7 linked regions of the Oryctolagus cuniculus genome follow. The protein of the gene in region 6 interacts with the protein of the main gene of each other region in a pairwise test. Links are inferred from orthologs where the notes say so. Each region holds a gene or a part of one and is shown on either strand. Other genes may lie near its edges. The genes, in order: PPFIA1, FXR2, MCM7, NDEL1, EPB41L3, MBIP and TXLNB.

The links.
Region 1: the proteins of MBIP (region 6) and PPFIA1 interact in binary tests that used the Homo sapiens proteins (3 or more experiments, as listed by UniProt). The two-hybrid records come from large-scale screens. The link is inferred for Oryctolagus cuniculus from reciprocal best matches to the Homo sapiens genes MBIP and PPFIA1.
Region 2: the proteins of MBIP (region 6) and FXR2 interact in binary tests that used the Homo sapiens proteins (3 or more experiments, as listed by UniProt). The two-hybrid records come from large-scale screens. The link is inferred for Oryctolagus cuniculus from reciprocal best matches to the Homo sapiens genes MBIP and FXR2.
Region 3: the proteins of MBIP (region 6) and MCM7 interact in binary tests that used the Homo sapiens proteins (3 or more experiments, as listed by UniProt). The two-hybrid records come from large-scale screens. The link is inferred for Oryctolagus cuniculus from reciprocal best matches to the Homo sapiens genes MBIP and MCM7.
Region 4: the proteins of MBIP (region 6) and NDEL1 interact in binary tests that used the Homo sapiens proteins (3 or more experiments, as listed by UniProt). The two-hybrid records come from large-scale screens. The link is inferred for Oryctolagus cuniculus from reciprocal best matches to the Homo sapiens genes MBIP and NDEL1.
Region 5: the proteins of MBIP (region 6) and EPB41L3 interact in a two-hybrid assay, tested with the Homo sapiens proteins (2 studies listed by BioGRID). The two-hybrid records come from large-scale screens. The link is inferred for Oryctolagus cuniculus from reciprocal best matches to the Homo sapiens genes MBIP and EPB41L3.
Region 7: the proteins of MBIP (region 6) and TXLNB interact in binary tests that used the Homo sapiens proteins (3 or more experiments, as listed by UniProt). The two-hybrid records come from large-scale screens. The link is inferred for Oryctolagus cuniculus from reciprocal best matches to the Homo sapiens genes MBIP and TXLNB.

The regions. Positions count from the first base shown.
Region 1 is NC_091432.1:2,279,229-2,282,728, forward strand, and holds part of PPFIA1 (liprin-alpha-1), read left to right. Parts: intron 1-304; coding exon 305-451; intron 452-3,051; coding exon 3,052-3,186; intron 3,187-3,500. UniProt on the Homo sapiens protein: May regulate the disassembly of focal adhesions. May localize receptor-like tyrosine phosphatases type 2A at specific sites on the plasma membrane, possibly regulating their interaction with the extracellular environment and their association with substrates.
Region 2 is NC_091448.1:52,166,767-52,170,266, reverse strand, and holds part of FXR2 (RNA-binding protein FXR2), read left to right. Parts: intron 1-724; coding exon 725-777; intron 778-1,134; coding exon 1,135-1,228; intron 1,229-2,961; coding exon 2,962-3,033; intron 3,034-3,147; coding exon 3,148-3,296; intron 3,297-3,500. UniProt on the Homo sapiens protein: mRNA-binding protein that acts as a regulator of mRNAs translation and/or stability, and which is required for adult hippocampal neurogenesis. Specifically binds to AU-rich elements (AREs) in the 3'-UTR of target mRNAs.
Region 3 is NC_091450.1:42,362,448-42,364,704, reverse strand, and holds the end of MCM7 (DNA replication licensing factor MCM7), read left to right. Parts: intron 1-196; coding exon 197-365; intron 366-479; exon of another isoform or gene 480-540; intron 541-701; exon of another isoform or gene 702-763; intron 764-908; exon of another isoform or gene 909-968; intron 969-1,136; coding exon 1,137-1,246; intron 1,247-1,386; coding exon 1,387-1,588; 3' UTR 1,589-1,757; downstream 1,758-2,257. UniProt on the Homo sapiens protein: Acts as a component of the MCM2-7 complex (MCM complex) which is the replicative helicase essential for 'once per cell cycle' DNA replication initiation and elongation in eukaryotic cells.
Region 4 is NC_091448.1:52,861,497-52,865,740, reverse strand, and holds the start of NDEL1 (nuclear distribution protein nudE-like 1), read right to left. Parts: upstream 2,801-4,244; 5' UTR 2,603-2,800; intron 1-2,602. UniProt on the Homo sapiens protein: Required for organization of the cellular microtubule array and microtubule anchoring at the centrosome. May regulate microtubule organization at least in part by targeting the microtubule severing protein KATNA1 to the centrosome.
Region 5 is NC_091441.1:62,322,209-62,325,708, reverse strand, and holds part of EPB41L3 (band 4.1-like protein 3), read left to right. Parts: intron 1-83; coding exon 84-158; intron 159-524; coding exon 525-623; intron 624-1,695; coding exon 1,696-2,406; intron 2,407-2,915; coding exon 2,916-3,038; intron 3,039-3,500. UniProt on the Homo sapiens protein: Tumor suppressor that inhibits cell proliferation and promotes apoptosis. Modulates the activity of protein arginine N-methyltransferases, including PRMT3 and PRMT5.
Region 6 is NC_091443.1:39,323,082-39,327,134, forward strand, and holds the start of MBIP (MAP3K12-binding inhibitory protein 1), read left to right. Parts: upstream 1-1,253; 5' UTR 1,254-1,343; coding exon 1,344-1,472; intron 1,473-4,053. UniProt on the Homo sapiens protein: Inhibits the MAP3K12 activity to induce the activation of the JNK/SAPK pathway. Component of the ATAC complex, a complex with histone acetyltransferase activity on histones H3 and H4.
Region 7 is NC_091436.1:29,593,107-29,596,606, reverse strand, and holds part of TXLNB (beta-taxilin), read right to left. Parts: intron 3,434-3,500; coding exon 3,341-3,433; intron 1,826-3,340; coding exon 1,730-1,825; intron 1-1,729. UniProt on the Homo sapiens protein: Promotes motor nerve regeneration. May be involved in intracellular vesicle traffic.

The sequences.
Region 1 (3,500 bases), on a different chromosome or scaffold from region 6:
AATTCTGGCCGTGCTGCAGAGTTGCATCGTTTGGATTTTTGTAATATCTTGTCACAAAGGATAAGCTTGATAACCAAATGTTCAGACAGATCTCTGCTGGTCGTACACGTGGGTATTTATATTTTAGGTTGGGTTTTTTTTAACCAGCATTTGAGAAAATTGGCATCTCTGTCACTTTAATTTTGTGGATGTTAATTTTATATGTAATTTGAAATCTAGAGTTAGTCCAGTTTTTTCCTTTCAGGTATATTAATGTTAGATATTTATTTTCTACCTTTTTTCCCCTCTGAAATACCTCATTTAGGCCATGGCCCAAAAGGAAGACATGGAAGAGAGAATCACGACTCTGGAGAAGCGCTACCTCGCGGCGCAGCGTGAAGCCACATCTGTGCACGACCTCAACGATAAACTTGAAAATGAGATTGCAAATAAAGATTCCATGCATCGACAGGTGACGGGTTCCACAGACCTTTGTCTGGCTTTAATGAATTTTAGTCAAGTGAAAGACCTTTTTCCCGGGCTGTGGAAAGTTTGTATGATATTAGAATGTTGTGTTGGAGAGCATGGGTCACTTCAACTTAAGGTTTTGATTGTTTAGATTTTGGTTTAACTTGGAGCTCTGCTCCTTGGTTCAGTCTTTGGTTTTGGTTGAAAGATAATCTGTTGCTTGTTGTTAACATTTCTTGCAAAGAATAGAGGGTGGTGAAGGACTTCACGGCCAGTGGCCATTTGCTGGTACCTGGAGACAGTGGTCAGTGGTGAGTCTAGGAATGCAGTCTGGGCCCAGTGCTGCGATGCCACTGTTTAAGTTGCTGCCTGCAGGGCTGACATGGGCGCTGGTTCAAGTCCCGGCTGCTCCACTTGCAATCCAGTCCCTGCTAATGCTCCTGGGAAAGCAGCAGACGATGGCCCAAGTGCTTGGGCCCCTGCACCCACTTGGGAGACCTGGATGGAGTTCTTGGATCCTGGCTTCATCCTGGTCCAGCCTTGGCTGTCGTGGCCTTTTGGGGAGTGAGCTAGCAGGTGGGCGATCTCTTTCTCTCTCTCTGCCTCTCCCTCCCTCTCTGACTCTGTAACTCTGCCTTTCAAGTATATAAAAGAATCCTTTTTTTTTTTTTTTTTAAATGACATTTGGGGGCCAGCGTTGTGATGTAGCCAGGAGTGGCACCACCTGTGATGCCAGCAGCCCATATGGGCATCGGTTCCTGTCCCGGCTGCTCCACTTCAGATCCAGCTCCCTGCTAATGGCCTGGGAAGAGCTGGAGCAGATGGCCCCAGTGTTTGGGCCCCTGCCATCCACATGGGAGACTGAGGAGGCTCCTGGCTCCTGGCTTTGGCCTTGCCCAGCCCTGGCCATTGGCGGCCCTTTGGAGAGTGAACAAGTGGATGGAAGATATCTCTCTCTCTCTCTCACTCTCTCTTACTCTGACCTTCAAATAATAATGAATGAATCTTAAAACAACAAAAAAGAAATGAAATCTCTGGTAGGAGTTACTTGTTTCTGGGGTCTGGTGAGCCGCATGTACTCCTATTTCTGTGTAGCTTCTGGACATCAGGAGTTAGCCAGAAAAACCACATCAGGCTTCTTGGAAATCAGTTTGGTCTTTTATAAAGTATATTGTTCTACCAAAAAGGGAAGTAAGATGTCAGGCAGCCACTGAAAGTGCTGTGTGCAGTGACGACAGATGAGAGGCAGACAGGGGTGGCCGTGCCCGATCCAGCGTGGCGTGTCTGAGGGTGTGGGGTCTCCGTGTCGTAGCGTGTGTTGGCGTGTGTGGAGGTGAGTACACTGGGTAAGGAAGAAGGCTGTGTGGAAACGGGCAGATATGTCAGGAATCTGAGCTTAGATGATTCTTAGAGTTTTAAGAAATCTTGTGAAATTTTCTGCATTGAAAATTTTTTTAGAAGAAAATGGTTTTTAAAGAGTACTCACAGAGAAGTAAGTTGACAGCATTTCTTTCTTTTTTTTAATGTTTATTTATTTATTTGAAAGTCAGAGTGTCATAGTTACACACACACACACACACACACACACACACACAGAGAGAGAGAGGTCTTCCATCTGATGGTTCACTCCCCAGATGGTTACAACGGCTAGAACTATGCTGATCCGAAGCTAGGAGCCAGGAGCTTCTTCCGGGTCTCGCACGTGGGTGCAGGGGCCCAAGGATTTGGGCCATCCTCCACTGCTTTCCCAGGCCACAGCAGAGAGCTGGATAGGAAGTGGAGCAGCTGGATCTCGAACTGGCGCCCATGTGGGATGCTGGCGCTTCAGGCCAGGGCGTTAGCCTGCTGCGCCTCAGCGCCGGCCCCAACAGCATCTTGTCACGTGTGTTCTCGGAAGGTCTGTATCAGGATGAGAGCCACCTTTTGGCTCACACCTGTGGTGTCTGCTGGGAGCAGGGTCAGCCTCGGCTTGGTCCCTGCTTGCCTGGAGCGTTTACTGCCCCCTCCGTGGGTGAGATAACCAGGCCTCCACGAAAACTCCTTTTCCTTCACGTCTGGGAGCCTTCAGGTGTTCAGAATGGGGGCTTCAGGAAGTTCAGGCAGATGGGGTCGAGCGGCAGTGCAGACAGGTGTCCGGCTTAGGGAAGATGTTGGGGAGGACACCGAAGCCTGGCTCTTCGCCCCAGCTTCTTGCTGCTGCAGGCCCTGGGAGGCAGCGTCGTGGCTCCCGGCGCTGGGGTCCGGCCACGCACAGGGAGACCTGAATTGAGTTCCCAGCTCGTGGCTTAGGTCCTGGCCAAGTCCTGACTGTGTGGGCATTCGGAAAGTGAATCAGCGCATAGGAGCTCTCGGTCTCTGTCTCTCAAAAAAAAAAAAAAAAATTCTGTGAACTTTTTGAAGCCCCAAATACTTTGGCAAGAGGCGTTTTGCACACTGCACTCAAGCCCAGAGGTGGGCGTGTGGTACTGCAGCAAGAAAAGTCCCCTCCCCCCGCAGCTCCCAGAGCAGCCGGGCTGCCGTGGTGCTGCCGTGGTCTCTGTGTGTGTGCGTTTCTGATGGAGACGGCTGAGCGCTGACGCCTGTGACGCTGTGCTCTCTTCGTAGACTGAGGATAAAAACCGCCAGTTGCAGGAGCGCCTGGAGCTGGCGGAGCAGAAGCTGCAGCAGACGCTCAGGAAGGCAGAGACGCTGCCCGAGGTGGAGGCGGAGCTGGCCCAGCGCGTGGCAGCACTGTCCAAGGTGGGACCTGGGGCGCGGTTCTGCTGAGCTGCCGGGACGCTGCCCGGGACTCCTTCCTGGCCCTTGCTCGTCACCCTCCCTGGGTCGAGGCCCCGCATCCGTGGGACAGTCTCACCCCCACTTTTGTGTCCCTGAGCCCCTGGTCTGCAGGTGTCCTGTCTGTCCACAGGAGCGTGCTGGACACTGCTGCCGGGACTCTGGTCACCAGCTGCGAGCGTGGGATAGAGGCCTGGACAGGGCCAGGGTTTCTGTCTTTTCTGTCAGGAGTAGGAAAATGCCTTTCTTTCAGAGACAGGATCACTTGCGCTAGACTT
Region 2 (3,500 bases), on a different chromosome or scaffold from region 6:
TCGTTAGTGACAGAAAAAAGATGGACCTGTTTGAGTTATGCTTGTTCCTCAGCACAGTCCTAAGATTGGGGCCCCATACATTTTATTCTCCTTAACAGCAGTGTCCATTTTTCATGATCCCAAATATCTGACATCTTTTATATCCCAAGTTTTTCCTTCTGTAAACTCTGTTCATCCTTGGTAACTTCTGCAGTGTCCTTATTCTGTTAGTACCCGGGCATTAGGCCCTGTGTCTGGCCGAGTCCCGTGCTATAGTGGGGGGCTAGCCCCTCCTCTCTTGGCAGATCCTGATGTCCGCTAGGTGCTCCAGGACAGCCTCACGCTGTCTCATGGGATATTCTTAGCCTTGCTGAAGGTTGTTGGTATTTTAATTGAACTCTGGCAGGCTGCTCAGCGCACAGAGGGCAGCTGGGGAGGCCTCTGGAAGCCATGCTAGACCACCAGTTTACAGGCCGTACCCATGCAGGTGGTCCTTACCTTGTACTTCTTTCCCACCTCATCTCATTTCCGGATTTTGCCACATACCTCTCTTTCCATGCCAGTATCATTTCCTTTCTCTCTCTCACTGTTACATTCTTTTTTCCCAAATACACCTTTCTGGCCCTGTCTTCAGAGGGCTCGTGGCCCCATCTAAAACTGGCTTAAAGGTTTCCAATGTTTCTATCCCCTTATTAAGGTTGTGGTAAAATGTCATTTTTTTTTTTTTTTCTAAAATCCACTCTAGGGCTTTGTGAAGGATGTCCATGAAGATTCTGTTACCATCTTCTTTGAAAACAAGTAAGACCTTGGGACTAGAGAATCCAGCATACTAGGTCCTAGAAGGAGAGTGGAGAAGAGGGGGCGGCTGAGTCCTATGAGGCATGTAATAGGTGGGGGAGAGCTGAGGGTGTGGGTGGGCAACTTACCTGGATCCCATGAGAGGAGAGGGCTGAGAATTTGGTGAGGTTGGGCTTAGCTGACCCACTGGCTAGATTCTAGCAAGAGACAGATGACAGTACAATGGAGCCAGGCCTGAGGGCTAGCCTCTAAGGACCAGGGAGGGTGGAGATTTCTCTGTTGAGGCAGTAACCCCTTTCTGAAGGAAAGGGCAGCATGTCATTCTGAATAACGTCCATGGCACTGTTTGTTTTGCAGCTGGCAGAGTGAGAGACAGATTCCTTTTGGGGATGTCCGGCTACCACCTCCCGCAGACTATAATAAGGAGATCACAGAAGGGGACGAGGTGGAGGTAAGGGCCAGTGTCCAGAGCACGTGGAACTCACTCTCCACATGCCACTTTGCCCAGGATCCTAGGCTCTTCTCTGCTTCCTTCATGGCCCTTCTCCCCAGCTGAGCCACATCCAGCCAGGCAGCTGGTGAAGTAAAAGGCAACAGTTTCCTTCCTGTCACTGTAGCAATCAGCCACACTCTCAGGGGGCTCTACAGTTGTAGGGGATTCACTTTTCTTTCCTTTATGATGGCATCTAAAATCCAGTGCTGTTTGATTTTTATGTAGTATCTCTTTTCGTTGGTTTCTGTTTCTCTTTTTTAAAGGTTTTTTTAGAAAAGGTGTATTATTTGAGAGGTAGAGTTACAGCCAGAGGGAAAGACAGAGAGAAAGAGGCAGAGAGAGGGACCTTCCATCCGCTGGTTCACTCCCCAAATGGCTGCAATGGTCTGAGCTGGGCCAGGCCAAAGCCAGGAGCTTCATCTGGGACTCCCACGTGGATACAGGGTCCTAAGGACTTGGGCCATCTTCCACTGCTTTCTCAGGCACATTAGCAGGGAGCTCAGTTGAAAGTGGAGCAGCCGGGACTTGAACCAGCACCCATATGGATTGCTGGTGCTGCAGGCAGTGGCTTCACCTTCTACGCCACAGGTCAGGCCTCTCTTTACAGCCTCTCTATTTCTTTTTCTTTTATTAAGATTTATTTGAGAGGCAGAGTGACAAGGAGAGAGAGAAAGACAAAAATACTTTCCATCGACAGGTTCATTCCCTTAAATGCTCACATCAGCCAGGGCTAGGCCAGGCCCCAAACCAGGAACCAATAACTCCATCCCAGTCTCCCATGAGGTTGGCAGGGACTCAGGTACTTAAGCCATTATCTGCTGTCTTCTCAGGCACATCAGCAGGAAACTGGGTCAGAAATTAAGTATCCAGGCCAGCTCACTAGGCTAATCCTCCGCCTTGCGGCGCCTGCACACTGGGTTCTAGTCCCGGTCGGGGCGTCGGATTCTGTCCCAGTTGCCCCTCTTCCAGGCCAGCTCTCTGCTGTGGCCAGGGAGTGCAGCAGAGGGTGGCCCAAGTGCTTGGGCCCTGCACCCCATGGGAGACCAGGATAAGTACCTGGCTCCTGCCATCGGATCAGCGCGGTGCACCGGCCACAGCACACCGGCTGCAGCAGCCATTGGAGGGTGAACCAACGGCAAAGGAAGACCTTTCTCTCTGTCTCTCTCTCTCTCACTGTCCACTCTGTCCAAAAAAAAAAAAAAAGAAGAAGAAGAAGAAGGTAAGTATCAGGGCCAGCACTGTGGCGTAGTAGGCTAAGCCTCTGCCTGTGGCACCAACATCCCATGTGGACGCCAGTTCATGGCCTGGGAAAGCGGTGGAAGATGGCCCAGGTGCTTGGGCCCCTGCACTCATTTGGGAGATCCAGAAGAAGATCCTGGCTCCTGGCTTCGTATTAGCTCAAATGGCTATTGGGCCATTTGGAGAGTGAACCAGTGGATGGAAGACCTTTCTTTCTTTCCTTCTCTCTAACTCTGCCTCCAAATAAAATGAAATCGTTAAAAGAAAAAAGGTGGTATGCAATATGGAATGCAGGCATTTCAAGTGGCTACTTAACCCACTGTGCCACGGTACCTGCCCCTCTGGCTTCCTTTCTTTGGTTTAGGATGCATCCCAGGTATTGAAATGCTTGTTCAGTTCTTGATGGCTTTGGATAATCTTCAAGATCTCTTTTATTTTCAACTTCCCTCCAGGTTTATTCTCGAGCCAATGAACAGGAGCCATGTGGCTGGTGGCTGGCCCGTGTGCGGATGATGAAGGGAGATGTGAGTGACGGTGTAGGCCTTAGGAGAACTATTGGAGCAAGTATTTTACTCCTAGAAAGGTAGGAAGTAGATGCTCAGGCCATCTACAACGTCTCCCTGTTTCTCCTCTGCCAGTTCTATGTCATTGAGTATGCCGCTTGCGATGCCACCTACAATGAGATTGTTACCCTGGAGCGACTTCGGCCAGTTAATCCCAATCCCCTTGCAACCAAAGGCAGCTTCTTCAAGGTTACCATGGCTGTGCCTGAGGATCTGAGAGAGGCGTGAGTGTTAGGGATGTCGGGCGTGGGGGGCAGCCCTCTTTCCAGCCCTAGCCTGTCTTCATCTCCCAGGTCCCACTCGCACTTTGCAGCCTGACCTTTTGTCCCCTGGCCCTCTCAAGCCTTCCTTGCTAGGTGTGCTCTGACCAGCTGCATCTTCCCTATTCTGTGCTTTAACTGTGGTCCCTCTCATTTTCTCACCTGAAC
Region 3 (2,257 bases), on a different chromosome or scaffold from region 6:
AACATGATGTGGAAATCCCTCAGCGATACTGGAGTCAAACACAGAGTCACCCACTCGTTTTTCTGCTTAAAAGTCCTTACTTCTGAGAGTTTTCTCATTAAATGGAGGAACCATTAGGCAGAAAACACCATGCCCATGTGTGTACCCCATTCCCCCTCTTCATGTTCTGCTTTCCCATGAACCTTTTCTCCCACAGACGCTACATAGCCATGTGCCGTGAGAAGCAGCCCACAGTGCCAGAGTCCCTGGCAGACTACATCACAGCAGCATACGTGGAGATGAGGCGAGAGGCCTGGGCCAGTAAGGATGCCACATACACTTCCGCCCGGACACTGCTGGCCATTCTCCGACTTTCCACTGCTCTGGTGAGTGCCTGGTTCCCCGTACTGCTGGAGGGTGTCCGTTTCCATCCCTACTGGCAATGAACCCTCACTTGGTCCTCTCGCTGCCGCCTCCTCCCACACCCGCCCTGCTGGGGCTAAAGTGCTGACAGTGCAGATAGTGGTCCTGTCCGTGCTACCGCACTGTGGGTACTTGCTGCTCCAGCAGGGCACGCACGTCCACGGAAGGAGAGGCCTTCTCTCCCCACTTCTGCAGCCTCACTGAAGCGGGGGAGGGTCCCTCTCTCTCCCCACCTCCTTGATCCTGTGCTATAAGCTTCCTTTCTGTCCTCACATCTCGGACCGTAGTCCCGGGGGCTCCAAAGTGCTGTTCGTGCAGGTAGTGTGATTACCTGACCTACTGCTGAGCTAGCACTTCCCGAGCCCCTGGGACACAGCCTCTCTGCCAACCGCCTGCTAGGCTGAGCTCCCCAGGCTGCATCTGTCGTGGTGGGGAGCCCACTGGAGTTCGGAAGGGTCTGGTCTCCCTCACAGGACAGCTGAACACCGGGACTGGCCAGTGTTGAGAGGCGGAGACTTGGGCAATTGCTGGACGCTGCCCTGGGCATTGCACTTGTCTCGGTCTGACAGTGCCGGCCCTACACTGCGGATGTGGGGGAGCAGGGGAGGGGTCCCTGCTCCTTTTGCGAGCAGACGGCACATAGGTTGTCCAGCCTTAAAGCTGGAACCAAGGGGGTTTCTCTGACTTTATTCCATTCTCCTCCTGTCCCCCTCTCTCCCCTACTTTCCCCTTAGGCACGTCTGAGAATGGTGGACACAGTGGAGAAGGAAGATGTGAATGAAGCCATAAGGCTCATGGAGATGTCCAAGGACTCACTTCTGGGCGACAAGGGGCAGACAGCCAGGTGAGTGGTTTAATGATGAGATTGGGTCACCTTGACCGTTGCAGGCTTCAGCATCCAGATGCATGAGCTGACCACTCTCCGTTGTCACTGTCAAGTGTCCTGGCTTGTGCCCTGATTCCATACCCTCGTGTTTCCTTCAGGACACAGAGGCCAGCAGATGTGATATTTGCCACTGTCCGCGAGTTGGTCTCGGGGGCCCGGAGCGTCCGGTTTTCTGAGGCAGAGCAGCGCTGCATATCCCGTGGCTTCACACCTGCCCAATTCCAAGCAGCTCTGGACGAGTATGAGGAGTTGAATGTCTGGCAGGTCAATGCTTCCCGGACACGGATCACTTTTGTCTGATTCCAACCTGCTTGAGACCTTGGGGACCCACTGTGCTCGCCGCTCACCTGCTGCCTTTGCAGGTGTAACCCAGCTCCGGAGGGGTGGGAGGAGCCCCTCTTCCTGTGCTGCACTTGCTTGTTTTGCTACTTTTGTTAATATAATAAAGTGTGTAGATTGCTGCCTTGTACCTTGGTCCTGACTTCTGTTAAACAGGTGTTATGGGGCTTTAAGAGTCCTCTCTCCTTCCCCTTTATGCTGGCCCTACCCCATCTCTGAGCTTTCTGAGAAAGTACCTTCGCTACCCACCAGCCACCACGAGATGCTGGGGAGGCAGTGAGGAGCAAGTTCCTATTTAACCTCAGCACCAGTGAGAACCATAGGCAAGACAGCGGTTCCCTTTCCTATTTCTTGAGGTGTATCCATCACAACAGCTCAGATAGCTCGATCCCCAGCTTCTGTAAAGCCCCTTCAAGGGGGCTGAGGAAAAGACCAGGAGTGGCATGCAGTGGTGTTACCAGGCACAGGTAAATCCCCGCTTTCTGGCCTTTCCCAAGTGAGTGCCAATAGCACCACTGTCAACAGGCAGGGGTGAGGCACTGGGTCAGTGCAGTAACCCAGGGGAAACCACTCCCTCTAATTCTCAGCACCCACAGGAGCCAGGCTTTTGAAATGTCCCTAATAAAAATG
Region 4 (4,244 bases), on a different chromosome or scaffold from region 6:
TTGCTTATGGCAATCAATACCCACTTAGAAATGGTCCCTGGGTACGCGACACCATGAAACTCGTGCAGGAATCTCAGACCTGCAGGCGTGTGGTGACACTCCTTCCCACTTCTGCAGACACAAACCCAGGTCACAGGCGTGGGCTTCTTTTGGTTAAGCCTCAGGTTATGACCCCCATGTCCCGCATTAGAGTGCCTGCGTTTCATGCCTGGCTCTGGCTCTGGCTCCCAATTCCAGCTGTCTGCTAAAGTAGACCCTGGGAGGGAGGCAGCAGGTGATGGCTCAAGTACTTGGGTCCCTGCCACCCATGTGGGAGACCTGGATGGAGCGCCCAGCTTCCAGTTTTCTCCAATGCAGGCATTTTAGGGAGCGAACCAGCAGATGGGAAATCAATCTCTCTCTCTCTCTCTCTCTCTCATACACAGAGAGAGAGAGAGAGAGGGAGTAAGTAATCAGTTTTAAAGTAGGACCTGAAAGAGAGAGGATTCGTGCAAGAGAGTGAGAACTGATTCCTAAGATGATGTTTAGGGTGTCCCAGGACAATAGTATGCAGTAGGACTGGGGGCAGCTAGTCCAGACTGGCGTGATGGGACGAGGCTCCCACGGAGATGTCTCCAAGAGAAAAAAGACAGAAGCTGAGAGATTATCTGATGTGTCAGATCAAATTGACAGGAATTTAATAGCTCTTTTGGAGAGGAGTCAGTGACATGTGTCATAAAAACTAAGGCAACTATCAGCTCCAGGGAAACAAATAGACAAAAGAAAGGGAACGTCATCATCATAATTTATATAGCACCGAGAAAACTTAATACAGTCACAGCGTAACAAACACATATAACATAAGCACAAATACTGACTTAACCAAATTGGTGTTATGCCATATCAGGAGGATGGGGGGACAGTAATGTGGGCAGGGTGAGAGTTTTATACCCTTGCCTTTTACAATAAGAAACCAATAGATCATGATTAACACAGAAAAATAAAGAAATAGCCACATAGGCACTCTATTTGGAAAGAAAAGCAACTAAAAATTTCAAAATATTTGCCTCTGGTAGGGAGAGCCTGGAAGTGGAGGGGTGGGACGTGGAGATGCTGTTTTTCATTGCAAGCTCTGTGTTGCTTTCACAGAGGTAGACGTTGGATTTAAAATAAATGAACCGATAGGGCTTTTCTTAAGGGAGTCTGAACAAATGAGTCAAAAGCGTATCAATGGGGCCAGCGCTGTGGCATAACAGATAAAGCCGCTGCCTGCAGTGCCAGCATCCCATATGGGTGCCAGTTCAAAACCCAGCTGCTCCACTTCGATCCAGCTCTCTGCTATGGTCTGGGAAAGCAGTAGAAGATGGCCCAAGTCCTTGGGTCCCAGTACCCACATGGAGATCTGGAAGAAGCTCCTGGCTCCTGGCTTTGGATTGGCTCAGCTCTGGCCATTGTGGCCATTTGGGGAGCAAACCAGTGGATGGAAGAACTCTCTCTCTCTCTGCCTCTGCCTCTCTGTAACTCTGCCTTTCAAATAAATAAATAAATTTTTTTTTTTTTTTTTTTTGACAGGCAGAGTGGACAGAGAGAGAGACAGAGAGAGAAAGGTCTTCCTTTTTGCCGTTGGTTCACCCTCCAATGGCCGCCGCTGCAGCCGGCGCACCGCGCTGATCCTGGCAGGAGCCAGGAGCCAGGTGCTTTTCCTGGTCTCCCATGGGGTGCAGGGCCCAAGCACCTGGGCCATCCTCCACTGCACTCCCTGGCCATAGCAGAGAGCTGGCCTGGAAGAGGGGCAACCGGGACAGAATCCGGCGCCCCAACCGGGACTCGAACCCGGTGTGCCGGCGCCGCAAGGTGGAGGATTAGCCTATTGAGCCACGGCGCCGGCTCAAATAAATCTTTAAAAAATAATTCCTCATGTAAGGCTAAAAGTCTGTATCCCAAAGTCTTCATTTTTGGGGTACAGATATTCCCCAGTTCTCTGTACTGTATTGTTCCCATTTTTATCAACTATCAGGGAAAAAATATATCTATATATATACTTCCATTTAGAAAATGAAATAAAAGTTACTGTGAGCCCTGAAGAATATATTCTTACAGTTTACAAAACCCCCTCACATTTTCCTGCTTCAGCACCACAAAAACCCAGTGAAACCAGGTGTGTTCCACTTTGCTGATGACAGCCCAGGTTCAGAAGGAAGTATCTGGTCCACAAGCCACCAAGCCAGCCAGCCACGGAGCCAAGGCTCAGTCGCAAGCCCCTCTGTGAGCCAGCACTGTGAGATCACCGTGCAGCACACCAACAGTGGCCCTGCCAGCTCCCCATCACCCATCCCAGCCCAAGGAGCTCCCTCCACAACGCCACAAAAAACAAGTCAAGGTGATCAGAAGCCTAGGAGGATCAGAAAGACACCAAAGCAAACCCCTGTTGTCCACAGGGACACAAACAACTTCACAGACTGACCTTGGCCTCCAACAACCCCCCCAACCACCCACATCCCGAAGGCAGAGGGGGTCCTCAGACACCAGGTCCCCTCCTCCGATGTCTCCCGAGCCAGTGTTCTCCTGACCCAGACCTTGTCCAATCAGCCCCCACCTCCCACTCCCCACCATCCCAAGCTACCTTGTCCTGGGTCCCGGAGCCTTGGCCGCTCACATCCGCAGCAGCCGCAAGGCTTGCGCTGCACCGGCTGAAACAAAGGAGAAGTCAACAGGAAGAGTGAGAATCACCGACCCACAACAGAGACGCAGGACAGGAAGTGGGCGAGAGCCAGGAAGGCTGGGGCCTGCTGTCTCCAAGTGAGGCAACCCCGCCAGGCCCATTGCTCAGTGGGGGGTTGAGCAAGACTGTGGTGCTGCAAGAAATACGGGTCCTGGTTCCTGAGCCAGGCCTTCCACGGCAGGCAGGGGAGCCCCTGGTCTCCCAAGCAAATGCCCGGGCTCTCCCCCACTTTCTGTAAGAGAAGGCGATGAGGGCAGGGCAATGGTGTTTCTATCTCTGTGGTGGCCCCGGCACAGAACCAGTGCAGCCCCGAGCATCAGAGAAACGGCCTGTAAGTCAGACAGAGCCCCGACCTACCTCGTAGCTGAGAGAACAGAAGCGAGTGGCTTTGCCTCTCTGCATCTCATTTTCCCCATCTATAAAACGGAGATAATTCCAGGACTGACCTCAGGGCGTCGTTCAGCGCTTTGTGAGACAGCATGAGTAACCGGCTTCATAGGAGGCAAATTAGTCCCCTTAGTTGTCAGGGGTTGTCCTCTTTCTGCCCCTTTTCCAAACCTGACGCCCTCCCTAAGTCTTAGAGCACCTGGTCTGAAGAGCACCTGCTCCCCCACCCCCACCCCCAGCCACCTGTAGCCTCCACAATGGTCGTAGCCCTCACGTGTCAGTCTCACGCTCCACAAGCAGCACCAGCTGTAAGAACTGTGACTGCAAGCAAATGTGAAAGGAACAGGCTAATAATAGTTACTCAACAAATGCCTGTCAAGGGGCTGGCGCCGTGGCACTTCCTGAGGCACCAGCATCCCGTATGGGTGTTGGTTCAAGTCCAGGCTGCTCTATTTCCCACCCAGCTCCCTGCTAATGCACCTGGGACAGCAGCAGAGGATGGTCCAAGTGCTTGGGTCCCTGCCACCCACATGGGAGACTTGACAGAGCTCCTGGCTTCAGCCTGGATGCAACCATTTGGGAAGTGAACAGCAGATGGGAGATTCTCTCTGTCTCTGTCTGTCTCCTCTTTCTCTCTCTCAACTCTGACTTTCAAATAAATAAATCTTTGAGGAAAAAGGGGGTAGGAGAAGAACTGCTTTTGAGGTCCTTCACTGAGAACGCCTTTCCCAAGGTGGGGATCTTACCTAGGGTCACCCAGGGAAGGTAGGAGCTGCCGGGGGTCTGTTGCTGGATCCCCAGGAACACCCCGCAAAGCACCGGAAGTCATCCCACAGGTGTTTGTGAACCTTAGCGATGTTGTAGAAACAACACCTGGGTAAAGAATGTGGGAAACCTCGGGCACCTGGGCTGAGGGATCCAAGACAGAGGGTGGAGGTCTCCCAGGCAAAGCCCCACACAGAGACGGGGGCAGGATGACCCTCGGCTCCTCTTAACTCCTCCCATCTTCCCCAGAGCCCGGAAAGATGGTGGGGGTGTGTGTGTGCTGAAAGCCCTGGATCTCCTGGAGGGCTGTTCCCGCCTTCGCCTCCCACCAGCTGTAACCCTCGGAGGGGCCCCTGCTGGCCTGGAGCCCTGCTCTCCTCCTGGCAGTCTG
Region 5 (3,500 bases), on a different chromosome or scaffold from region 6:
AATAAAAGAACTCACTTCCTAACTTGCCTTTTTGGAAACTGTCTACTTCCTCTTCTCCAACCCAACCCCCTTTATTCAAACAGACCAAAGAAGAAAGAGAAATTTCTGAAAAAGTTATATTTTTGCAACAAGGAAGCTCTTCATTCCTTGAGTCTCAGGTAAAAATAAACATCAAGGACTTTGTAGAAGGAATTGCTGTTCAGACTTCAGTATTATTAAAATGTCTTTAGTTTTATTTTCCTGTTTAAATTTCTCTCATTTAAAAGTAAGGTGGGTCTATAAGTTTTGCTTCAATTCTAGGGAAAAGACAAAGGAATTTCCTTAGTATTTTCATTATTTGTAACATGTCACTTCCTTGTGCTTCTGTTAGGTGATTATATGTTGTCATTGAAGCACCATGATTGTACTTTTGTCTTAGTGAAACTTCACTGCCTGTTTTTACCCACAGTTGGTTTTTCTTTACTGTACTGTAGCTGACCTTGATTGATTTTGAAAGCTCTGAACTTTTATTGGTTTTCCCATAGCCGAGTGTGATCAAGAAAATGCAGGAAGGAGGCTCTGCTGACTCTATGGTTACCTCTCGTCAAGTCATTTTCCAGAAAACTGTCCCAGCGACCCTAGAGGTTATTTTTTTCAATTCATTTCATTTAACCCAGCACCAGCATGTAATCAAGATGTAGTCATTTTCCTTAAGGCACATGCTATTTCTAGATTCAAGTTTTCAGACTACCGTAAATATGAATGTAGAAAACATCCTAGATTAAAATGTAAACCAAAGCACTCACCCGCTCCTGGTTCCCTTCTGTAAGCTATGAGGCTAGTCAACTGCCCAGTGACATCTGAATACAGACTTTCATTTCTTCTGCCGTACTGGGATTCACATTGAGGAAAGTGGGGAAGAAGCTACTGAGACAGTGAACTTCAGTTGTAAATAAATTTGCACACTGCACACGTGGCTGTGATCTGTTTATACAAGTCTCCAACAGTGTCCCTCAATGGGAGCTATTTCATGGAAGTGCCTAGAACTCAGGCACACACGATATTTATCAGGTAATTGCTCTAGTGGAGTCAGATACCAACAAAAGGAAGTACAGCTCACAAACACAGAAAATTATAAGTACAAAAATGTGAATAACGTTGGCAAGTTCTTGTGAGAATGAGGGTTTTCAAAAAGTTCCTGGAAGATGCGTAAAGTGAAAAAAACTGCATGGATTTCAAAGCTTTTTGCACCAAAATACACTTTTTCTAAATGCATTTTCCTACAGACTTTTTGAAGTATCCTTGTACTTGAAGTATACAGTATATTTAACACAGAGAATTGTTCTTTTGTGTTCACATACAGAAACTAACTTGTAATAATGACTTCAGTAATGTTTTGTAATCTTGAAATATAAAATGACCATAGTTAATCACAAGATCAAATATATTTCTTGCAATATTGACCACCAAAGCATGTTCATGTCGAGAAATCTGAAAGTGTAATTCTGCCTAAAGAGTATATTCCAGGTTGAAGGTTATAGTTAGTAAATTTCCAATGAGAAGAGAATGCAGCTGTTAATTATTACACTGCCCGTCCTGTGCAGCCCCACCTCAGGCCTGCCTGTAGCTCTTGCCCTGATTTTCTTAAAAGGTTCTTATTTTAGAAATGAGATAACCATCAGAATTTCTAATTTAGCTTTTATATTTCAAATATAGGGCACAGAGGATTGGGTTATTGTAGACAAAATACCCACTGAGGTAGTTGATGGTGATTTGAAAAAGATTGTCACTTACAAGGTGGTGACGGTGAGCAGTAGAACTGGTGACCTCCCAGCCGACATGTTAAAATCTGGCTCCCTTGACATGCACGGCCTCCATGACTTGGCCCGAGAAGTGCACTTGAAAGAAGAAAGCAAGCAGAAGATATACACGCTAGGAAAGTCCTATGACACCGTCTCCGGAAGAGTTGTGACCATGACTGGGAAAGCCAAGGAGGGGGAAAAAGCAGAGCCGCCCTCCACACTGGAAACACCTCTGAAAACGGAGAGGGGCCCCGGCCTGGCGGAATATGAGGGCCTGGAAGCCCTTGCCGGTGAGAAACCCAAGCGAGGACCCGAGGTCCAGACGACAAAGCGGAAGTTGTCAGAATCTCTGGCACCCATCAAGGAGGCCGAGTCTCGTCGGCAGAGCCCTGAGGATGAAGACACCAGGAAGGCTGCAGAGCTGAGGCTGGAAGCAGCTGGCCACCCTGGGCTGGACAGCCTGCGCCTTGGCAAAACGGAGCAGGTGCAAGAGAGTGAGGTCTTGAAGGTGGGCCTCTTCGGTCCCCGACGGAAGAGCCTGTCCGAGTGGAGATACTCCCAGGAGCCAGCCTTGACCGTGGCTACTGCTCATTACCATACCGAGTCGTCCACGTCCCGCGTGGTGGTAACCAGTGGCTCTCATTCCGCCGCAGCTTTAGATTCCAGCATGACCTGTTCTGAGGCAGTGCCCCTTCCGCCCCACACCTTCCCGTTTCTCTTGCTGCTTGGCTTTGTGTTGAGAGCAGCCAACCCAGCTTTTTGAGTTTTTTTCATGGTTCAGTCGATACCGCAGTCCCAAGAGGGCATTAAAATGTTTATTTCCAGCTACCCGTTCCCAAGATGTGATCGTGCTGCTGTGCCTGGCAATGAAGGAAAAACATGACCCGCTTTACTGGGTGCCGCCCTTCTCCTAATAACTCTCTCTCTCTCTGCTTTACCAACCAAGAGCTCAGGGTCACCCTGGTTGGCTATTTTATTTCCCATTCTTTTCCGTTTCCGAACTCCGTCTCTTAGTTTCCTTCCTTCCTCCTCCCCTTCTCCTGCGCCTCCAGCTGTGTGTAACAAGCCGTGAATGTGTCTCTGCTGAGGACCTGTGTCTCTGGTGCTTGACTCTGCCTTTCTCTGTCCACTCAGACCAAGCAGGCTTCCGGCGAAAAGCTCATGGACGGCTCTGAGATCTTCAGTTTGTTAGAGTCTGCCCGAAAGCCAACAGAGTTCATAGGAGGGGTTGCCTCCACTGCTCAGAGCTGGGTTCAGGTGCCCACTGGCTTCCCTCCTGCGTGTTTGTGCCTGTGCCTTGCTTTATGTGTGTGTGTTCGTGTTTTGCATTCAAGTGGCTTTGCCTTCGAGACCTCACAGGTGCCTTCAGGGATTGTCCTTTGTGCCTGCTTGGTGTTTCTGTCCATCCACAGTTAGTTCCGCTCCAAGGATGTACTTGGGGAGCCAGCATAGAGACCGGTGGCGAAGACACCATATCCCGTGGGGGAGTACCTGGCTTTGATTCGCAGTGCCAGCTCCAGCGGCTCACTCCAGCTTCTTGCGAATGGAGACCCTGGGAGGCAGCAGTTAATGGCTCAAGTAATTGAGTTCCTGCCACCCACTTGGGAGATCCAGGTTGTGTTCCCAGCTCCCACGCTTAGCCCCAGCCACTGTGGGCATTTGGGAATACAGGTGGCCTCTCTCTCTCTCTCTCTCTCTCTCTCTCTCTCTGCCTTTCAA
Region 6 (4,053 bases):
GGTTTTATGCCCTTCTAATTCAAAGATTGTGATCTGTGTGAAATTTAACCTGGGTTAAATTCCTGTTGGAATCACATAGACAGTGTTTTACTTCTTTGAAACAATTTAAGGGTTGAGCATCTTTAAAGTTACCACTCAACTGCTGCACACTTTAAAACCTGACAAATTATTTAGCAGATATGTTCCAGGACAACCACCCCAAACTCTTGGAGCTGTCGTTATAGAACCCCCAAGTCTGGGTCCCCTCCCAGGGGCAGCTGTTGCCATTTCCCTGCTGGAGCTCCCCCGGGGAATTTGGGGTGTTTTTTTATAGACTGAAATTGGAGCTGAGAGGTGCAGGGTCAGCTCATGCTCAGGTTCCCGGTTGGTCAGTGTGCTAGTGAGTTTTCTTTGATTGGTCTGTGATGCTGTGCTCCTTAGAGAATTTTTTTGATGCCCAGGTGGGCTTCTGTTGGCCTAGGAGAGGTGAAGGTGGGGCTTACAAGCAAATGGTAGTTTCCTTCTACTCCAGACCTGGAATTCCCCTAAACAACTCCTTCCAAGCAGTGCTGGCCAACAAGGGACTCCTTGAGTCCTGTGAGTGGAACTTTGTCGGGTCAGCTGTATCTCTCCCCAGTTCAGTGAATTCCTTTTGATACCCGACAGGCAAGGACACCTTGGGCTCCTGGAGACAGACAAGAGGCTGGGCCCTGTCTTTCCATTATAGGGGTTCAATCTCAGATCACAGTCAGTCAAGTCACGTCGTCCCCCCCATAGAAAAGCAAGGCATAATGGAGCACAGTGTTCTTTTACCTCCTCCTTTCCCCTGTATGAAAAATTAGTTGTGTTGACTTGTGTACGTTTTAAACAGCCCTGTAGAGTTGTGCACGTTCTATCCACTTAGAAGTTTCTTAGTGTTTAGAAACACGTGTGGCACCCACCCATTCTGACCAGCAATCTTTCTCCAAACCACGCCATACTGCCTTGTTAAAATTTCGAATGTTAACTTGGGGCCTCAAACTCTTAACATTAAAATCTAACTCTCCTCTTAACCAACACTCAGAAGAAACCTTTAAGAGTCAAAATAGGCTCCACGAGGCTGTCAGCTGACTACAACCCCAATCACCGCTCCAAATAGAGAATCTAGCCTGGCGCCAGTCAGCAGTTACCAGCTTGGCGCAAAGCTGTAGTTAACACTTGATTGGTTAACATGCCTGTCAGTCACACGGGGTAGGTGGGGCCGCAAGCCCTATCTAAACGAGACGCTTTGTTTTTACGTCATCGGGGAGCGACGAAAGCAGGAGAGGGAGGGGTGGAGTAGTGAGTGCATCTCGGCGTTGGCGGGGGCGGCTTGCGAAGGTGTCATGGCCGCTGCTACCGAGCTTAGTTACCCGAGCATCGGTGACAGGGACCTGGAACGCAGCTGCAGCCCCAGCCTCTCCCGAGAGGTGCTCTGCGAACTCTTTCGCTCTCTGCACACCCTGGCTGGACAGGTGGGTGGTGGCCCGGGGAACCGGGGCAGTGGGCCGTCCGCCCTTCCCCCACTTGTCCCTGTGGCGGAGGCCGGCCGGGGGGCAGCCGGCGGCGGCCGTGCCCGCCCTCGCTCGGTACCGGCTGCGGTCCAGATGACCACGCTGCTGTCCTCTCAGAGAGGGAGCGAGGGTGGTCCGAGGGGAAACCCAGTGGCCCGCGGAGCAGGTCTGCAGGGAATGGAAGCAGAAAAGCTTCCGTCGGGGTTTAGGGGTGCCTGCTCTCGGGGTCTTGTTCCCGGCAGCTTACTCCTTCGAGAAACTGGGTGGTCGGTCAGTACGGACTGAAGTTTTTGGAAAAGCGACCCTCTGAGTCACTTGGTTTTCTTTCTGGTTGCCCTGTGGGTGTGTGCCCATCTGTTACACTTTGCATCAGGGAGTAGAGTAAAACGGTTAATCAACTTCTAACTTAAAGTTGCTGTTTGCGGTAGAACTGCCGTCTGACGAGGTGTTCAGGAAGGAGTTTAATTGGCTCGTAAACCGCTTTTGCAGACCTACCTTATAAAATGGATTTTAAAAGGTGGGTTCTTAACACTGATAGTCAGTATTGAGATTCAAGCTGTAAACTTCGGATTGAATTTTAAACGAGGAATAGCCTTGCGGTGTGTTTGTCTGCCTCTTAGAAAGAAATAATTTCTTCCTTATCTTACGGAGACAATATTTTACTGTAACTTTGTTCTGGGACTGTTACTAGTGCATGTGGTGAAAACAGGCATTTGTGTCAAAGATAAGTTCCTATGAAATTGGAGCATTTGTCTGAATTCTGAAAATTCCCTTTTAAATCCTTGAGGGTATGGAGAGACACCTTTTTAAAAAGCTGTTGGAGTATTTTTAAAAAGCTTGGCATGTTGTGGCTTATAAAGAACATTACTGTAAGTAAGCATTCTGTTTTGTGTAATGAGGCAGTTATTAATAGAGTCTCCTAAGTGGTACACCTTGTAAACTCGGTGGGTTGCCAAGGACGTGGGTACTTCTGATGGTTATTAGAAGACCAAGGACCTTTTAAATGGTTGAAAAGTTACAGAACTTTTTATGGCTTGGACATTGGAACATTACATTTTATTCATATTCTGATATCAGGTTGAGAAAAATGTATGGTCATCCATTATTTGTAGAGTTCCTCCTGCCCCAGTGATAGGATATTTGTACAAATTCATACTGAGAGATAATTTAAACATTGCTTTTGAAATATTTGCTTGTTGAACTTTTGAAACTTTTAAAAATTTTAATTCAGATATTCTAATAGTACAAGTAGAAAATTGATTACAGTTTACTTGCGTCACCTGTCAAAAATGTTTAGGGTAAAAATTTGGTGAGGTTTTCTTGACATAGGCAAGGGACCTTCTATATAAGTATCAAAAATATGATTGCCTCTCAATTCACTGCTAACCATTTTGATGACAATCTGTAGTTTGAGATGTATTGTTTAAGAATGAAAGTCAGAGAACCATGTCCACATCAGTGTTTCCTTTTGCAATAAGTTTAAAGTTTTTTTAGCATGTATGTTGTTATATGCCCAAGTTCATACTAGATATCATCGTATTATTAACTCTCAGTTGGAAGCATAAAATTGTATGTTTTCTATTCCAGATGGCAAAATTTACTAATTTTTATCCTTAATGGGCTTATAGATGGTTCATTTTACCAAACTAAATTTAATGCTTGCTCAGATTTTCATAATTTAATAAAGTTTTACTGAAAGTACAGATTTAAATAGTCCAATTAATTGCAAACTGATAGACTTTTGACTGGTTTACTATTCCAAGTTTAAGAGAAAAATGCATAGAATTTATTACTAAAAGGGAATTTGTTGACTGAATTTTGGATAAATTGGGATAGTTTTAGAACGAATTTGCAACATTATTTTGTGGTTTTCTTAAAAGACCAAGTATCCTTAATTACCCTTAAAAGCTTCCATTATTAATTGAAATGAAGTTGTAATCCAGACATTAGGATTTATTTTCTGTAAGGTGTTTTCTCCAGAAGATGTGTTGCCTTGCCTTGGTTGAGGATTTCTTTGCTTTCTTCCAAAACCACATCCATCAATTTATTGTAACCAACTATAGATCTCTTTGAGGGCTGTAAAATTTTGGTATTGGGTTACTTCTGTACATGATAGCAGATGTCTGACAAAATTGTTAAAGTCACTATAATATTAACTAATCTTTGTGTACAGTTGTCTAATATTGGACTTTAAATGCTTCTGGTGTCATGTTCAGAGAGCGGTAAGGTTCTGTCACATGTGTTCATTCAATATGGTGTTTTTATTGGTAACCTTGAATCTGATTTCTTGCATAGTGATTCATCTTTTTGTTTTATTATAATTATAGCTCATAAGATCTGTATTTGAATTGGATGTAACACCTTTATTTATAGAAAAACGTTATTTCTGAAAAATATAGTTAAATTGATTCTTAAACACATGTTCCTAGAAAAGTTTCTGGTGATTCACTTTTCACTCAAAGATTGCAAATGGCGGTTTTCATTCTAAAGTAGATATTAGCTTTATAGATTTTTACCGTTTTCTAAATATGATTTTGTTCTG
Region 7 (3,500 bases), on a different chromosome or scaffold from region 6:
GCCTGGGATTGATTGCCACTTCTGCTTCTTTTTTTTTTTTTGACAGGCAGAGTGGACAGTGAGAGAGACAGAGAGAAAGGTCTTCCTTTGCCGTTGGTTCACCCTCCAATGGCTGCCCTGGCCAGCGCACCGCACCGCACTGATCTGAAGCCAGGAGCCAGGTGCTTCTCCTGGTCTCCCATGGGGTGCAGGGCCCAAGCGCTTGGGCCATCCTCCACTGCACTCCCTGGCCACAGCAGAGAGCTGGCCTGGAAGAGGGGCAACCGGGACAGAATCCGGCGCCCTGACCAGGACTAGAACCCGGTGTGCCGGCGCCGCAAGGCGGAGGATTAGCCTAGTGAGCTGCGGCGCGGGCCCACTTCTGCTTCTAATCCAGCTTCCTATTAACACAGCTGGGAGGCAGCAAATTATGGCCCAAGTGCTTGGGTCCTGCCGCCTTGTGGGAGACCATGATGGAGTTCCTGGCAGCTGTTGTCAATATTTAGGGAGTGAACCAGCAGATGGAAGATCAGTCTCTCTTTCTCTCCCTCTTCTCTTCACCCTCTCCTCAACTGCCTTCCAAATAAATAAAAATAAAGTAGCACCTATTCTGGGTGCTTTGGCTGGTGTCTTTTTTTTTTTTTTTTTTTTTTTTTTTTGACAGGCAGAGTGGACAGTGAGAGAGAGAGACAGAGAGAAAGGTCTTCCTTTGCCGTTGGTTCACCCTCCAATGGCCGCTGCGGAGGCGCGCTGCGGCCGGCGCACCGCGCTGATCCTGTGGCAGGAGCCAGGAGCCAGGTGCTTTTCCTGGTCTCCCATGGGGTGCAGGGCCCAAGCACCTGGGCCATCCTCCACCGCACTCCCTGGCCACAGCAGAGAGCTGGCCTGGAAGAGGGGCAACCGGGACAGAATCCGGCGCCCCGACCGGGACTAGAACCCGGTGTGCCGGCGCCGCTAGGCGGAGGATTAGCCTAGTGAGCCACGGCGCCGGCCAGCTGGTGTCTTTCAATATATTCAAATCAAGTTATTAATTTATTCTGCACCTGTGATATGCTAGGCACTGGGGAAATTCAGTGCCAAATGAGACTCATTCTACCTTTAAGAAATTCAGTGTAGGGGCCGATGCTGTGGTGTAGTGGGTAAAGCCGCTGCCTGCAGTGCTGGCATCCCATGTGGGCACTGGTTCAAGTCCCAGCTGCTCCCCTTCTGATGTAGCTTTCTGCTAATGGCCTGGGAAAGCAGAAGATGGTCCCAGTCCTTGGGCCCCTGCGCCAGCGTGGGAGACCTGGAAGAAGCTCCTAGCTCCTGGCTTCAGATCGGCTCAGCTCCGGCCGTTGCGGCCATTTGGGGAGTGAACCAGCAGATGGAAGACCTCTCTCTCTCTCTCTCTCTGCTTCTGCCTCTGCCTCTCTGAACTCTGCCCTTTCAAATAAATATATAAATCTTAAAAAAAAATAGCAATTCAGTTTAGCAGGTGGAGTGCTGCTGTTCAACTGTTGAATCAACAAGTAAGCATATGAGTTAGGGTCACAAAGCTCTTTATGAATCTAATTTAGAATCAGATTCTAAATGGCTTTTGCTCTGATTATTTTTATTTCAATTTAATATATCACATTCCTTCCTTGCATCCCATTTATCTCTTTTTCAAATATAATTATTTGTACTATCAAATTTTAATTACATTCTAAGTGTGAATGTTTTGACTAGACTGGGGGTGGGGAGGTAAAAGCTAAGAGACAAACTTTCTCACCTCTTCAATCATATCCAACAGAGCTTTGTTACAATTTTCAAACCGGGATTTCCATGTGGCGGTGTCCTTTTCCAGCTTCTTCATTTTCTTAGTCATCTACAGAAAATAGAATGTTCTAGTGTTAACCCTGAAGAATGAATGCATCGAGGAAGCTGTGAGTTCTCTCTTGGACATCAAGAGTAGTCCTTTTGTTACCAGCTACTGAAGCAAACAGCTGTTCGATGTCAAGAATGAAGATTGCAGAAGAATTGTGATTTATTTCTGCATCCTCTAGTCACTGGTACATACACGTTTGCACCAGAGTCAGTTCAGGAAAAAGGAAACTGCTTAGGAACACACTTTTTTTTCATTGTTTTTTTTTCTTTCATTTAAAACAAAAATATCTTTACTGAGTCCCATGAATAAGCTTGCAATTTAGATTATTTGCTTTATTGAATAGGAGACTCCACAGTGGTGAGAAGGCTGGCATGGTTTCTTAGTCATTAAAATGCTGACACTGTTTGGGCACATTTGAGAAGTAGGCACATAAAAGCAGTTTTTTGTTTTTACATTTGTAGTTTGAGGGAGAGTTCACAGAATGTAATTAGACACATCATTCCTCTCATCCTTGAGGCAGTCTCATAGGTATGGTTCTGTTTTCACCCCTGCTTTAGAGATAGGGAAGCTGAGACTCAGAGCAGTGGAGTAATATTCAGGTTAGTTAACAGAAGAGGGACTGGAGTTACTCCATTCCGTTTTGTGCAACATGTGCGGTGTCTGCTGGTCACCAGGCCCTGGGCTGGGCATGGGGCATACAGAAGTTAATAAGATGTCATCTCTTTTTGAAATTGAGGCAGCTCACATTCCCAGTTGTAGGATTTCCTCTCTGCTTGAGTAAAGTGAAGAACAAAGGATACAGTTAGTTATGGTTTCCCTGGATGAACCATAGCTGGGCACTTGCTGCTTCAAGCCAAGCTGCCTGAGGCTAGGCTGACTGTCAGCCCCTGGCACATAGAGAAGTGAGGTGAGCCCTGAATGATTTTTTTTTTTTTTTTTTTTTACTTCTGACCACATAGTAACAAAATCAGTACTTTATAAACTTTTTAAGGTCATCACCCTTTAAGAATTTTATGAAATCTATGGGATCACACCTTAGGAAAATGCAAAGATGTGGATCAGTTTTGTTTTTGCTAATTTCCAGAGAATTCTCAGGTCAGCTACTACAGGTTATAAGCAGAGCTCAGATTAAGAATTCCCTTCTTGATCTAATATTTACTACAATGTCAAAGCTATGTAATTTTGAACTTTAAAGTGTTTTCTGCTTTTGTATTTATTCAGCCTTAAATTCTAGAAATTTGAGAGAGGTTTTAAAAATGGATAAATCCATCCTGGAGTGGGAAAGGAAATATTCATTCTCAGAGTGAAAGTATATCCTAGCATTTTTTGGCTCTTGCCAAGAATAATTCACCAGATACTTACCGATAAAAAATACAGTCCAAAAATCATTTGTACCTATAAATGTTTCATTACTTCATGAAATGCATTGAAATATCTTAGAAAAATGAGCCCGAAGGAGAATTTCCTGTCAAAATAGAAAATTCCAGTATTTCATGGGTGATAAGCAATACTCACTTTATCCATTTCCTGTTTGAAAGAGGCAAACACCTCATTGCTTTTTGTCAGTGTGCTCTGGAACTCTTCAAACCTTCCTGAGTAGAGAGTAAGCTGTAAACAGGAGAGAGAGTGTATCTACTTGAGGGCTGCTTTCAAAGGGCTTCCAGAACAAGATAAC